2 linked regions of the Schizosaccharomyces pombe genome follow. Changing the gene in region 2 together with the main gene of any one other region gives a genetic interaction. Each region holds a gene or a part of one and is shown on either strand. Other genes may lie near its edges.

Region 1 (3,760 bases), 3.1 Mb from region 2:
AAAGGTATCTTATATTACCAAGGCTTAGGCTTTCGTTTGTTTATGCTATCAGTCGCTTGCTAATATTTGATTGGCTCTTCTTTCAGTAAACTAACAAAGCATTGGAGCTTTTATAAACTACGTCATTTAAGTAGGCGTGAACTAAATTATTGGACAGAATTGAGTTTCTTTCACTATGCATTGGAAATTCCTATAAATAGTCGATGAAGTCTGCGAAACAAGGGAGGTAAACAGACTTAGTGGGTATTAAAATGTTGGTCAATCTTCTGCCGTCTTGATTTAAAAGCACTTCTCTTTTACTATTGTAAGACGGAATATGCATGCAAGATCGCTTTAGTTGGTTGAATGTCTCTTTCTTTGTGTTGTGGTTTGTTCGTTTTTTTCTAATTTGGAATATTATAAGAAACGTTGTTTTCTTGCAACATTTTGAAATGGTCATTCAAAAAGCTGGATTCGGTACCACTTTTCTTTTTACCTTGTCTTCTAAGCTCTGTTAAATTTCTTGATGGGGTCCAGTTAAACCAACCCCCAAGTTGGTTTATGTGAGCCTTGTCTCTTTTTTGGATGAATAGTAGCTTAGATAGTGATAGTTATTATTATGACTGATGGAATCTACTTAAAAATGGATTCCATTTTTTGTCTACTGTAATTGAATTCTTTTTGGTACACTTTTTGGCTGCATTGTTATCCTTGAAAGCACTTACAATGTTTAAACTTTGCGAATGACTGAAACAGAAAAGAAATAAAACGACTGTACCTGAACTATTGTTGAAACAATATTAAAACGTATTCCTGAAACAGATTAAACTACATTAAATTTTGTTAATGAATTAAACGTGAAACTTGAAAGTTTGATGCGAAACAAAACCCGCAGTTTGTTTAAACGCTTATTTGTGATTAAAATTGATGAACCAGTTTAAACTATGAAAGTGTTTGAAAACGTGCTGAAACCATTCGTTAAACCCTGCAAACCAACATAAAAAAAATTGAAAATAAACAATAACCACAGCAAGCTAATTCAATTCCAACAATGGTATGTTGCATTGGTCTTCGGTTGTGCTGTGCTCCCTCTTTTTTTGAGCATAGTTAAAACCATTAATACTATTTAAACATTTCTCTTTAAAAAAGAGAAGAGAATAGCAACACATAGAATTTCCAAATTCAACATGCCTTCAAATTTGAAATCGCAAGGAACAGCTATTAATGAATGAAACGAGTTAAATTGAAATAAATCAAACACTATAAAGATTATTATTCTATTTCTTGCTTAAAACACACTTTAAGGAATTGAAATTTTTCACGTAAAATGTTGATGAACTGGCTTTAAATTTACATGCAAGTCTTGATTGTGAAATGATGCGTTGGAAGCATGAATTGGTATTTTCTTTTTTAAAAAAAGCAATGAAAAGTTTGAAAAAGGCAATAAAACTTGGAGGTGGTTGGACTTTGCCGATTTCACGAAGTTTTTCTTTGCTGTTTGAAACTCAACCAAATAAATTAAACAGTGGTAGCAGCCCCAATTAAACTGAAAATCTATCAGTTATATGTTCATGAATGTGTAAAAGCAGCAGAACAGACAGATCCCAGCATTTTTCCCTTCTCTTTGCACTACATTATGAGAGGGATAACTGATATTCTGTAATGTAGATCTGAGAAAACGAAGGCAAAGCTAATCCCGAATGTAAGGTTTAGGGAGCTACTTGTTTTCATCCTTTCGAACGTAAGGCTCATAAAGTATCATTAATTAAACGTAAGAATAATAAATTTCAAACAAATTAGTTGTTCGCTATACCTACTTTTGTTGTGCAGCATTCCCATCTTCTTATCAAGTTTCACTTGATAACCGCTTCGAAGATTCAGACTTCATCCTTCTTAAACCACTACCGCCATCGCATATATATATTTATATACAAAGCAAGTTTACATTATTGTAGCTTTTATTAAACTGCTCGTTCAATTCTACTAAAAAAGGGATCCACTGATTTTGTTACAAGACTGACCATTAAATTCATTGCTATGCAAACCAAAATTTTTGCACGTCTTGCTGGCATTGGTCGGGCTCGGTTTGTTGGTACGATGCCCGACAAGACCAAATTCATCAGTAAATCTGGAACGTATCCACAAGGTTTCAGCTTAAATGGTATTGCTTCCGGCGTAAAAGCCAATGGAAAAAAGGATTTAGCCATTTTATTTTCCTCTCGACCATGCAACGCCGCAGCCGTCTTTACTAAGAATGCATTTCAAGCTGCTCCAGTTCAAGTTTCACGCCAAACTCTGAACGGCTGTGGCGGTAAAGATATTCACTGTGTCGTGTTCAATAGCGGTTGCGCTAACGCTGTTACTGGTGAGGGCGGTTTGATGGATGCCCAACTCATTACCGCCGAAGCTGATAATTTGACTCGTCCACATTGGACTTCGTGGACTGAGAATTCAGAGGAATTTCCCTCGTCGTTGGTGATGTCGACTGGTGTTATTGGACAACGTTTGAAGTTAGACAAGATTCAAAGCGGTTTGGAACACGCGGTTGAAGACCTCGGGTCCACTCATGAATACTGGATGAGAGCAGCTGAGGCCATTTGCACTACGGATACTTTCCCTAAACTCGTTTCCCGTGAACTTAGTATTGCAGGCAAAGTCTACAGGATTGCAGGTTTTGCCAAGGGCGCAGGTATGATCAATCCCAACTTGGCCACTCTTTTAGGTTTGTTTGTTACAGATGCCCCAATCTCAGTTGATGCAGTCCGATCTATACTTCGTCATGCAATTAACAACAGTTTCAATTCTATCAGTATTGATGGTGATACGAGTACAAATGATACAATTGCCTTCCTTGCAAATGGAGCTGCTGGTGGATCCGAGATTACCAAGTCTTCCCCTGCATACAAGGAGATTCGTGATGCTGTAACGGATATTGCTCAACAACTTGCAAAGCTGGTTGTCCGTGACGGTGAGGGTGCTACGAAATTCGTTACTGTGCAAGTCAGAGGCGCTAGATCAGAGAAAGACGCTGCGTTGGTGGCATCAACCATTAGTAACTCTGCATTGGTGAAAACGGCATTCTTTGGTGAGGACGCTAACTGGGGTCGTATTTTGTGTGCCGTCGGTTATTCAGGTGCTGCTGTCAATCCTCCTGCTACGACCGTTAGTTTTATTCCTGCAGACGGAACTGAACCATTGAAGCTTTTAGTAAATGGTGAACCACAAAATGTCGATGAGACCCGTGCTAGCGAAATATTATCGCAAGACGAACTCACTGTAGACGTTGATCTTGGATGTGGTCCTTATGCCAAAACAAATTGGACTTGCGATTTTTCGTATGACTATGTTCGTATTAATGCTGATTATCGCAGTTAAAAAAGAACAGTGGTCAGTTACCAAATTAACCAAGAGTGAGCTCTACGCTTTGATACCAAGAAAGCTTCATGTTTTTACAGCTTTAAACTCTTCAATTCAATTTGATGAACATACACGACGTTCGTTTACAATACGTGTCTAACAGAAAAAAAGGATTGCTGAGATGCATTCATTAACAAAAAAGTATGTATAAAAAGCTTTGCTTGCTTATGGTAGAAGTTTGCAATTTTAAGCGAAAGTTCATTATGCATGTAACATCAATCATAGTATATCATAATAACATGAATCTTTTCATTCGATTGCCTGCCTTAATTGAAAGGAGTTCAAGCCAGGATTAAATAAGAAGTGCATGCTAAAAATCAGGAGGTTTGTATTCCTCAACAAATGTTTGTAGCTTATCCCCTGT
Region 2 (7,882 bases):
TTCTCACAGCCAAATAAAGGCTTATAAAGAAATCTTGAATTTAATTAATTATGTATCGTCTCAAATGTGATGTTAAAAGTTATGGATGGGGAAAAGTTGGTCACGAGTCTTTAGCCGCGAAATTAGCTGAGGCTGGATACGGTTTCGAGGTTGATCCTAATACCCCATACGCTGAGGTATGCAAAAGGCTTGGTTAATTCTATACTAATTGAATTTTCTATACAGTTGTGGATGGGTTCTCATCCTTCTGGCCCTTCCTTTGTTATGCAAACTGGTAAGCCGTTGAGTGAGTTGTTAACTCCAGAAACCGTTGGAGAAAAAGTGTACAAGAAATATGGGAAACAACTCCCCTTTTTATTCAAAGTTTTATCGATAAATAAGGTGCTGTCTATTCAGGCTCATCCTGACAAACCCCTTGGTAAACAACTTCACAAAACGAATCCGAAAGAGTACAAGGACGATAATCATAAGCCAGAAATGGCAGTTGCATTGACAGAATTCGACGCTCTTTGTGGTTTTCGACCAGTAAAGCAAATCGAACAGTTCCTTGACAGTATAGCTCCTTTGCGTGAATTTGTCGGTGAAGAAGCTGTTCGTCAATTTAAAGGTACCGTGAAGCAAGACGAGAGAAAAGCATTGGAAACTTTATTTAATGAGTTAATGCACAAAGACGAAAAAAGGATTCAAGAATTTACTCCTCAGCTTGTTCAACTAGCAAAAAGTGATGCTAACAACTTTGGTGGAACGGAATACGGCGGAAAAGCATTTAGCGATTTAATTATTCATCTCAATAGTCAATTTCCGGATGACATCGGATTATTTGTTACTCCTTTTCTTAACTACGTTCGATTACATCCAGGAGAAGCCGTTTTTCTTCGTGCCTTAGATCCACATGCTTATGTTTCTGGAAATATAATTGAGTGCATGGCTGCCAGTGATAACGTTATCCGTCTTGGCTTTACGCCAAAGTTTAAGGACATAGAAACTCTCGTAAATAATCTCACTTATCAGACTGCGGATGCCAAATCCCAACTTACCCAACCTGTACCATTTGCCAAAGCTTGTGGATCTGGCAAAACTCTGTTATATGATCCCCCGATCGAAGAGTTTAGCATTTTGCAAACCAAGGTTTCTCCTGGTCAAAAACAATGCATACGCGGAATCAATGGCCCTAGCATTTTACTTGTTACTGAGGGTTCAGGCATATTGAATGGAGACAAAGGAGATGTAGCATCGATATCTCCTGGATTTGTTTATTTTATTTCCGCAAATTTTCCATTAACGATCTCTGCGACTTCAGAACCTGTTGTCGTTTACCAGGCATTCTGTGAGATTTAGTTACTCTGCAGCTTTTTACTACTATCAGCACCATTATAATAAAACAATACATGGAATTTTTAAATTTTTAACGATACTGGATAGGATGGACAAAATTAAGTAAAAACAAATTTATTTTTTCGTAGATGCAATGCATAAATAATGAGCGTTTTTAAGAAATGTAACAAAATGTAGAGAAGAAATATAGACAAAAAAATGAAATGAAGAAGATGAACCCCAAAAATAAAATAAAAAATGAATCCAGAAGAAAAATGAAAAAAATGAAAAAAATAAAAAAAATGAAACCAGAAAAAAAATGCGAAAACTAATCAACAACGAAATAAAGCATAAAAATGGGAATGACAAAAGTAAAACGAATGCAAAAATAATTCTAATAAACAAATTTTTTTGACCAAGCATCCACTTTTAACACGCAATTTAGTACAACTCAAAGTAGGCATTGCCTCCGGTGACAGAGACTGTACAACCACTGCTGTCAGCGGTGGAACCATGGAATGATCCGTCTTCATAGTAGCAATCACCACTAAGGGACCCACCATCAGATTTAATACGGATATTGTAATCAAGTTTAGCAGATGATAAAGGATTGAAAGACATAGAAAGCCAAGTCTTGCCGTCAGTGTAACCAGACCCGAAGTTCATAGGAGCCCAATTGCCATAATCATCGCCCTCATTACCCCAAACACAGACATCTTCTGCACTTCTGCCAGATTTATTAACATAGTATTGAGCGGATGTCTTCTTTCCTCCCCAATTATAGTATGAATCTTCATCAACATCAGAAAGAGGTTGTTTTGAACCACCATCAATATTGGTAGGGATATTCATGTTCTCAGTTCCGGGGTAATCGGTACGGCAAATTGCGACATTGGAACTCAATGTATTTTTAACATAGGCAGTACCCTTTCCATCTTCACAAAGATTAGAATTATCCTTCTGGGTGAGATATAATTTACCGTTCTTGCAATACAAACCACCAACGGAAACGCCATTGTCAGGCTGCTCAGACGGCCATTGGGTCTTAGACATTCCGGGCTTGCATGCATAGGAACAGTATGTGTTATCTTGGCATGTAGAAGCTGTTCCGTATTTACCATCATTCTTCTGAACACCAGACCATCCTCCAAAACCTAAGTAATCAAGGCGGACAACGCCATTTTGATCATCAGGAAAAGAGGAGCAGTCGTATACGCCGTCAGGAAAACCACCGTCTCTTTTTGAAAAAGCGGTAGTGTTTGTGACATTGACACCAACAGTTATATTGCTAGCATTCAAACCGGCATGATGGTGATGGTGATAGGGAGCATTACCAAGAGGCATAGCTGAAACCAAAGGAATGGCGGAAACCGCAAAACAAAGAAAGTTGTTAAAGAGCATTTTTAGATTTAAAAGATTTGACAGGAATCTAACGATTGACTTTATAAACGATAGGATATGCTAGTAACTTGATACTAGAAAATAAAAGAAAGATGGTAAAGAATATAATGGTCTTTACCTTTTGCGGTTCTGATTGTTTAATTTCAGCTCACGGCTTTTCCCTAAAAATCAGCTCAGCTTTATATACATTTCTTTTTTCAAGCACTTCACCATCTTTTGATTAAGAGCCGTGGCGTTTTGCCACTAATTAACCATGAAAGCCTGTAAGTTTTCAACGTTGATTTTTTCAGAAAATTTCTAACCATAAACCCGAAATAATTAGCGCCAAAACAGTCAACTATTGCGCTCCAATCATTGCTTGCCTTGCTATCGGCTTTGTATTCATTGGCTGATAACTTAATTAAAAATGAACTTAAAAGTCAGTTGATAAATTCAACCAATTAAATGCGTGAATTTGATCTACCCCAGGAAAATTTATACTGTCCCGGGGTCGCGGGGCGTTCAATCATTCATTTCAAAGCAAATTATTATTATTTCCAAGCCAAGTAATTTAATTTTTGTTTATCGCTTTAGCTTTCTTATCATAAGGAAGTTCTTGGTCCCCTGGGCCTTTTGCAATTGAATTGCGCGGTGTACGTAAGCCTAATGACATCCCTGTATACCTAACTTACAAATACGTTGGCTCGACTCAACGTTATATTGATTTTCTCCTAATACTATTAAATATATTTAATAATCTCTTGGGAAAGTAATCTGGTACATACAAATCATCCTAGATATAAGAGGCTCGGTGCATTTCGGCAAATGATGTTCTGCAGCTCATTAAATATGATATAATATTAATTAATTAATATCGTGTTTACACTCGGTTTATCGGTTTGCTATGCTAAGAACTTTTACGGATAACAATTTAATTATTTATCTTGGTAGCGTATTTGACGCTTCTTTGGATACTGAGATTAAGTCAAATTTTGAATGGAGAGAAGTCGAATAATAGCCCAATGCCTGCCGAAATTACCCGATGCATGTCATTGACGAGACAAAAAATTTCTTTCAACGGCCTAAGAAAATGATGTACTAGAAACGCCATCTTAGTCTGACATTTTACATTTTACGCTCATGCTCAAATTTTATTAATAAATTATTATATGTGTCCGTGTCATTTAGAATATGACAGGGGAGGGTAATCTCTTTCCCAACTTTATTGGCGTGTAATGAAATTCGCGAGCTACTATTGTGTCTGCATTCTTTAGCTGCAAAAACGCAACGGAAAAGACAATTTTATAATATGAATACTTCACGTGTTCATTGTTTTTGTCTTTAGAGAATTTATTTGAAAATGCTGAGGAGGTTAATATCTGGTATACAATTAAAACACTATCGCAAATAATGTAAAAAAAAATAATATTGAGGAGCCATAACTAAGTCATATAACTTTTCTTATTGAACTATTGTTATGTCGCGATTTAGTCGTATTTACCATAAACTATAAAAACTTTTCTTAATCAACAGTAAAATTGTTACTTATTCTGGTGTTACTTACACCTCCGCTTGCGTAGAGTGAATTTAAAATTCATTGCCAAGAGTTTATGGTCTTTACGATCTATCTCGCTGAACTTCAAAAAAACCAAGAAAAAGTATTGCTCTAATGCATTAAGACGATAACTATTTGCAAAATAATTTCATATACATGTTTCCCAACGGGCAGTTGTTTTAAGTAAATTCATCAGTATCGATTCTTGAACCAGGTTCTCTAACATCATAAAAGAACTTGACAAATACTTTTCTACTAAGTGTCTGTAAACTACTTGAAATGAATGAGAAGAAAAAAGATAGCCTATCTGTTTTAGATTCCAATGAATTTTTCGGTGAGACAACTATGGTATCACCGAGTATTGATGTTTCCTCTTCTCCCCGGCCAAATGTCGAGAGATTTTCTCCATGTTCCACTAAAAAAGATCTCCTGGAAGGAAATAATATAATGACCAGAATTCCCGAGGAGCTTAGTCGTGTTAGTCTACAATTTGATAGCAAGGGAAGTCAGCAATCGATGATATTTACTAACAATCGATGTTTATCTGATAAAGAAAATTTGGAAAACTTGCAAAATCTTTTATATCTACATTGTGATCTTAACCGGCCCCATTTGAGTTGTGAGCTGCCGTCAGAGCATCGCGAAAAGTGCCTTAAACGCCGTAACTCTAGTCTCAGCTCTAATTTGCATGCTAATAAGCGGTTTCTCTTCAATTCTCAAAGTGATGGGAATAAAAAGAATGAAACTTTTCCTTCTACTAACTACTCGAACGTTTTCTACCCAAACAACTGTGACAGTAAGGAAGTCGCTAGTGAAACAACATTCTCACTTGATGCACCAAATAATTCTGTTAATTACTCTTATTTTTCTCCTAATTTACTCGGCAACGATTCCAAAACCCGTCAATCTTTTCCCCCTCATTCATCTTCATCTTCACATAATTCTTTGCATGAACCTGTCATATATGATTTTTCTTCAGAAAATCCTAGCATTCATCCTTCTAATCATTTGAGCTCTCAAAAAAATGCTGTTTTGAAATTAGCACAATTAATTTCTTCCTTCGAAAAATTACCCGAAAGTGTTCGTCAATACTTACTTTTTCATCTTCTTTCTCGATGTGGAAAACATGCTGTTCAAAATATTCACAAAATTCTGCTTCCTATCTTTCAAAAGAACTTTTTAACTGGATTTCCGGCTGAGATTACAAATTTAGTGCTTACGCATTTAGATGCACCTTCATTGTGTGCAGTTTCGCAAGTTTCGCATCACTGGTATAAGTTGGTATCGTCCAACGAAGAACTTTGGAAAAGTCTCTTTTTAAAAGATGGTTTCTTTTGGGATTCAATTGATAGTAAAATCCGTACGATGTGTTTAGAACAATCTTTGTCAGCCTGTGCGATAATGAAGCGGGTCTATTTTAGACATTTTAATCTTCGTGAAAGATGGCTCCATGCCCCGGAGAAAATTAAGCGATGTTCATTCCCAATTCATGGAGTTCGTCTTATTACCAAACTTCAGTTTGATGATGACAAAATAATTGTTAGCACCTGCAGTCCTAGAATTAATATATATGACACGAAAACAGGTGTCCTGATACGCAGTTTAGAAGAGCATGAAGGTGATGTTTGGACTTTTGAATACGTTGGGGATACTTTGGTTACTGGCTCCACAGACAGGACAGTAAGAGTCTGGGACCTTAGAACCGGTGAATGTAAACAGGTGTTTTATGGACACACGTCAACAATCCGTTGTATCAAAATAGTTCAAGGCAATCAAAGTACTACTGATACTGATGATGTGGAAAAAGAAAACAGACCAGCTTCAAATGATGCTAATTCAATGCCTCCGTATATAATTTCAAGTTCAAGGGATTGTACGATCCGTTTATGGAGTCTTCCATGCCTTGACGATCCACCATTTGTTAATGTAAATGAAAATCCTGATCAGAATAATGACTTTACTTCAGCTACGACCAATCCGTTTTACATCCGAACATTACGTGGTCATACGGACTCGGTACGTGAAGTTGCTTGTCTTGGAGATTTGATTGTCAGTGCCAGTTATGATGGTACTCTTAGAGTATGGAAGGCATCTACTGGCGTTTGTTTACATGTTCTTCGGGGACACGTCGGGAGAGTATACAGTGTCACAATTAATCCTTCTCGTCAACAATGTATCAGCGCTGGTACGGATGCTAAAATTCGTATTTGGAACCTTGAGTCTGGAGAACTTCTACAGACCCTTCATGGTCATTCGAATTTGGTAAGTCAAGTTACATTTAACCAAAATATCTTGGTATCCGCTTCTGCTCCTCCTGATACATCGTTGAGAGTTTGGGATCTAAACACCGGAAGTTGTCGAGATATTTTAAAATGTCCTTTGGGACACATATTTTTTCAACACGACGAGAGCAAAGTTGTCAGTGGAAGCCATAGTACGCTACAGTTATGGGACATTCGTTCCGGAAAGTTAGTAAGAGACCTATTGACTGATTTGGATATAATCTGGCAAGTTGCTTATAATGAAAATGTATGTGTGGCTGCTGTTTTAAGAAATAACCGTTTTTGGATCGAGGTCCTAGAGTTTGGATCTACTAAATCTTCTTGAGCTTTTATAAGTTGAGATACTAGAAATCTATAAAAGATCTCGAAATTTTATTTTACGTTTCCAAACTGAAATAGATTCATGCTATTTATTCTGGAAACTCCTCTATCATATAATATTTGTCTAATTGTTTGTTGACTTTTAAATGTTTACTCATAATTTTCTTTTTTAAATATCTAATAAGAATGCAAAATAATATTTTTTTAAATGATCTATTCTACATTTATAAATTATTTAGTGTTAAATTCGTTTGTTGAGGCCAAAATTTTTTTACCAAAGGGATAAGCGAATTTCTTGAATCCTTAGCTTCAAATAGCGTCCATTCTACCCAAAAGCGTACTATATTTTTATAATTAGCAAACTATAGTAAATAAAAAAACAAACATTTTAGCTTTGTAAATGTAAAAAGACATTTAATTTAACAAAAGGCTTTTACATTACTTCATAAGCTACCAAATGTCTTCATCGTAAAACATGCTTTTCGCATTCCATTTATCTATGTAAGCCATTTTAGTGTAGTTTAAAGTGTTGGAAAACCACAGGTGGGACTGTAATATACGTACACTTAAGACGCGTTCGACGCGTTCACAAAATTACCATATATAGATATCAACTTATCAAATACCCTTTACTTCTAAGTATAAATGACAAATGAATTCATACAAAGAGGAAATTCTGCAAACTAAGTCTGACTTTACTCTTAAAAATTTAATTTTCTTCGCGATATCAACATTATGCTATAAGCGGTACGCAGACATATAATTTTTAAATTAAAATAGCTAACAGAAGGCAAGTGCTCTTTTCAATGAAAACTGCTACAAGAAAGTCAATTTCGAAATTGAACATTTTAAAGGAGCTGACTTTGATTGTCAATTGAAACCTACTGTGGTTTCTTTACAAGCTGGAGTGGACAAAGAAGCAGACAGTTTTTTGGAAATGATGGTGAGTGTTTAAAACTTATCTAAAGAAATAAACTAATATTTTAGAAAACTTATATTTTCTCACTTGTATCAATGAAAGTTCCATTTA

The links. Genes that interact genetically often act in the same process or in processes that back each other up.
Region 1: mutations in psu2 (region 2) and aga1 together harm fitness more than expected from each alone (negative genetic interaction), as found in Schizosaccharomyces pombe (one large-scale study listed by BioGRID).

Annotation. Positions count from the first base shown.
Region 1 is NC_003423.3:336,395-340,154, reverse strand, and holds the start of aga1 (glutamate N-acetyltransferase), read left to right. Parts: upstream 1-1,874; 5' UTR 1,875-2,016; coding exon 2,017-3,354; 3' UTR 3,355-3,706; coding exon of another isoform or gene 3,707-3,760. Other genes in the region: mti2 (translation initiation factor IF-2Mt), read right to left, coding at 3,707-3,760.
Region 2 is NC_003423.3:3,464,815-3,472,696, forward strand, and holds psu2 (beta-glucosidase Psu2), read right to left. Parts: upstream 3,004-7,882; 5' UTR 2,716-3,003; coding exon 1,756-2,715; 3' UTR 1,456-1,755; downstream 1-1,455. Other genes in the region: mpi1 (mannose-6-phosphate isomerase), read left to right, coding at 51-176, 226-1,338; cullin 1 adaptor protein Pop1, read left to right, coding at 4,529-6,856; synaptonemal complex-associated protein hop1, read left to right, coding at 7,505-7,599, 7,648-7,795, 7,840-7,882.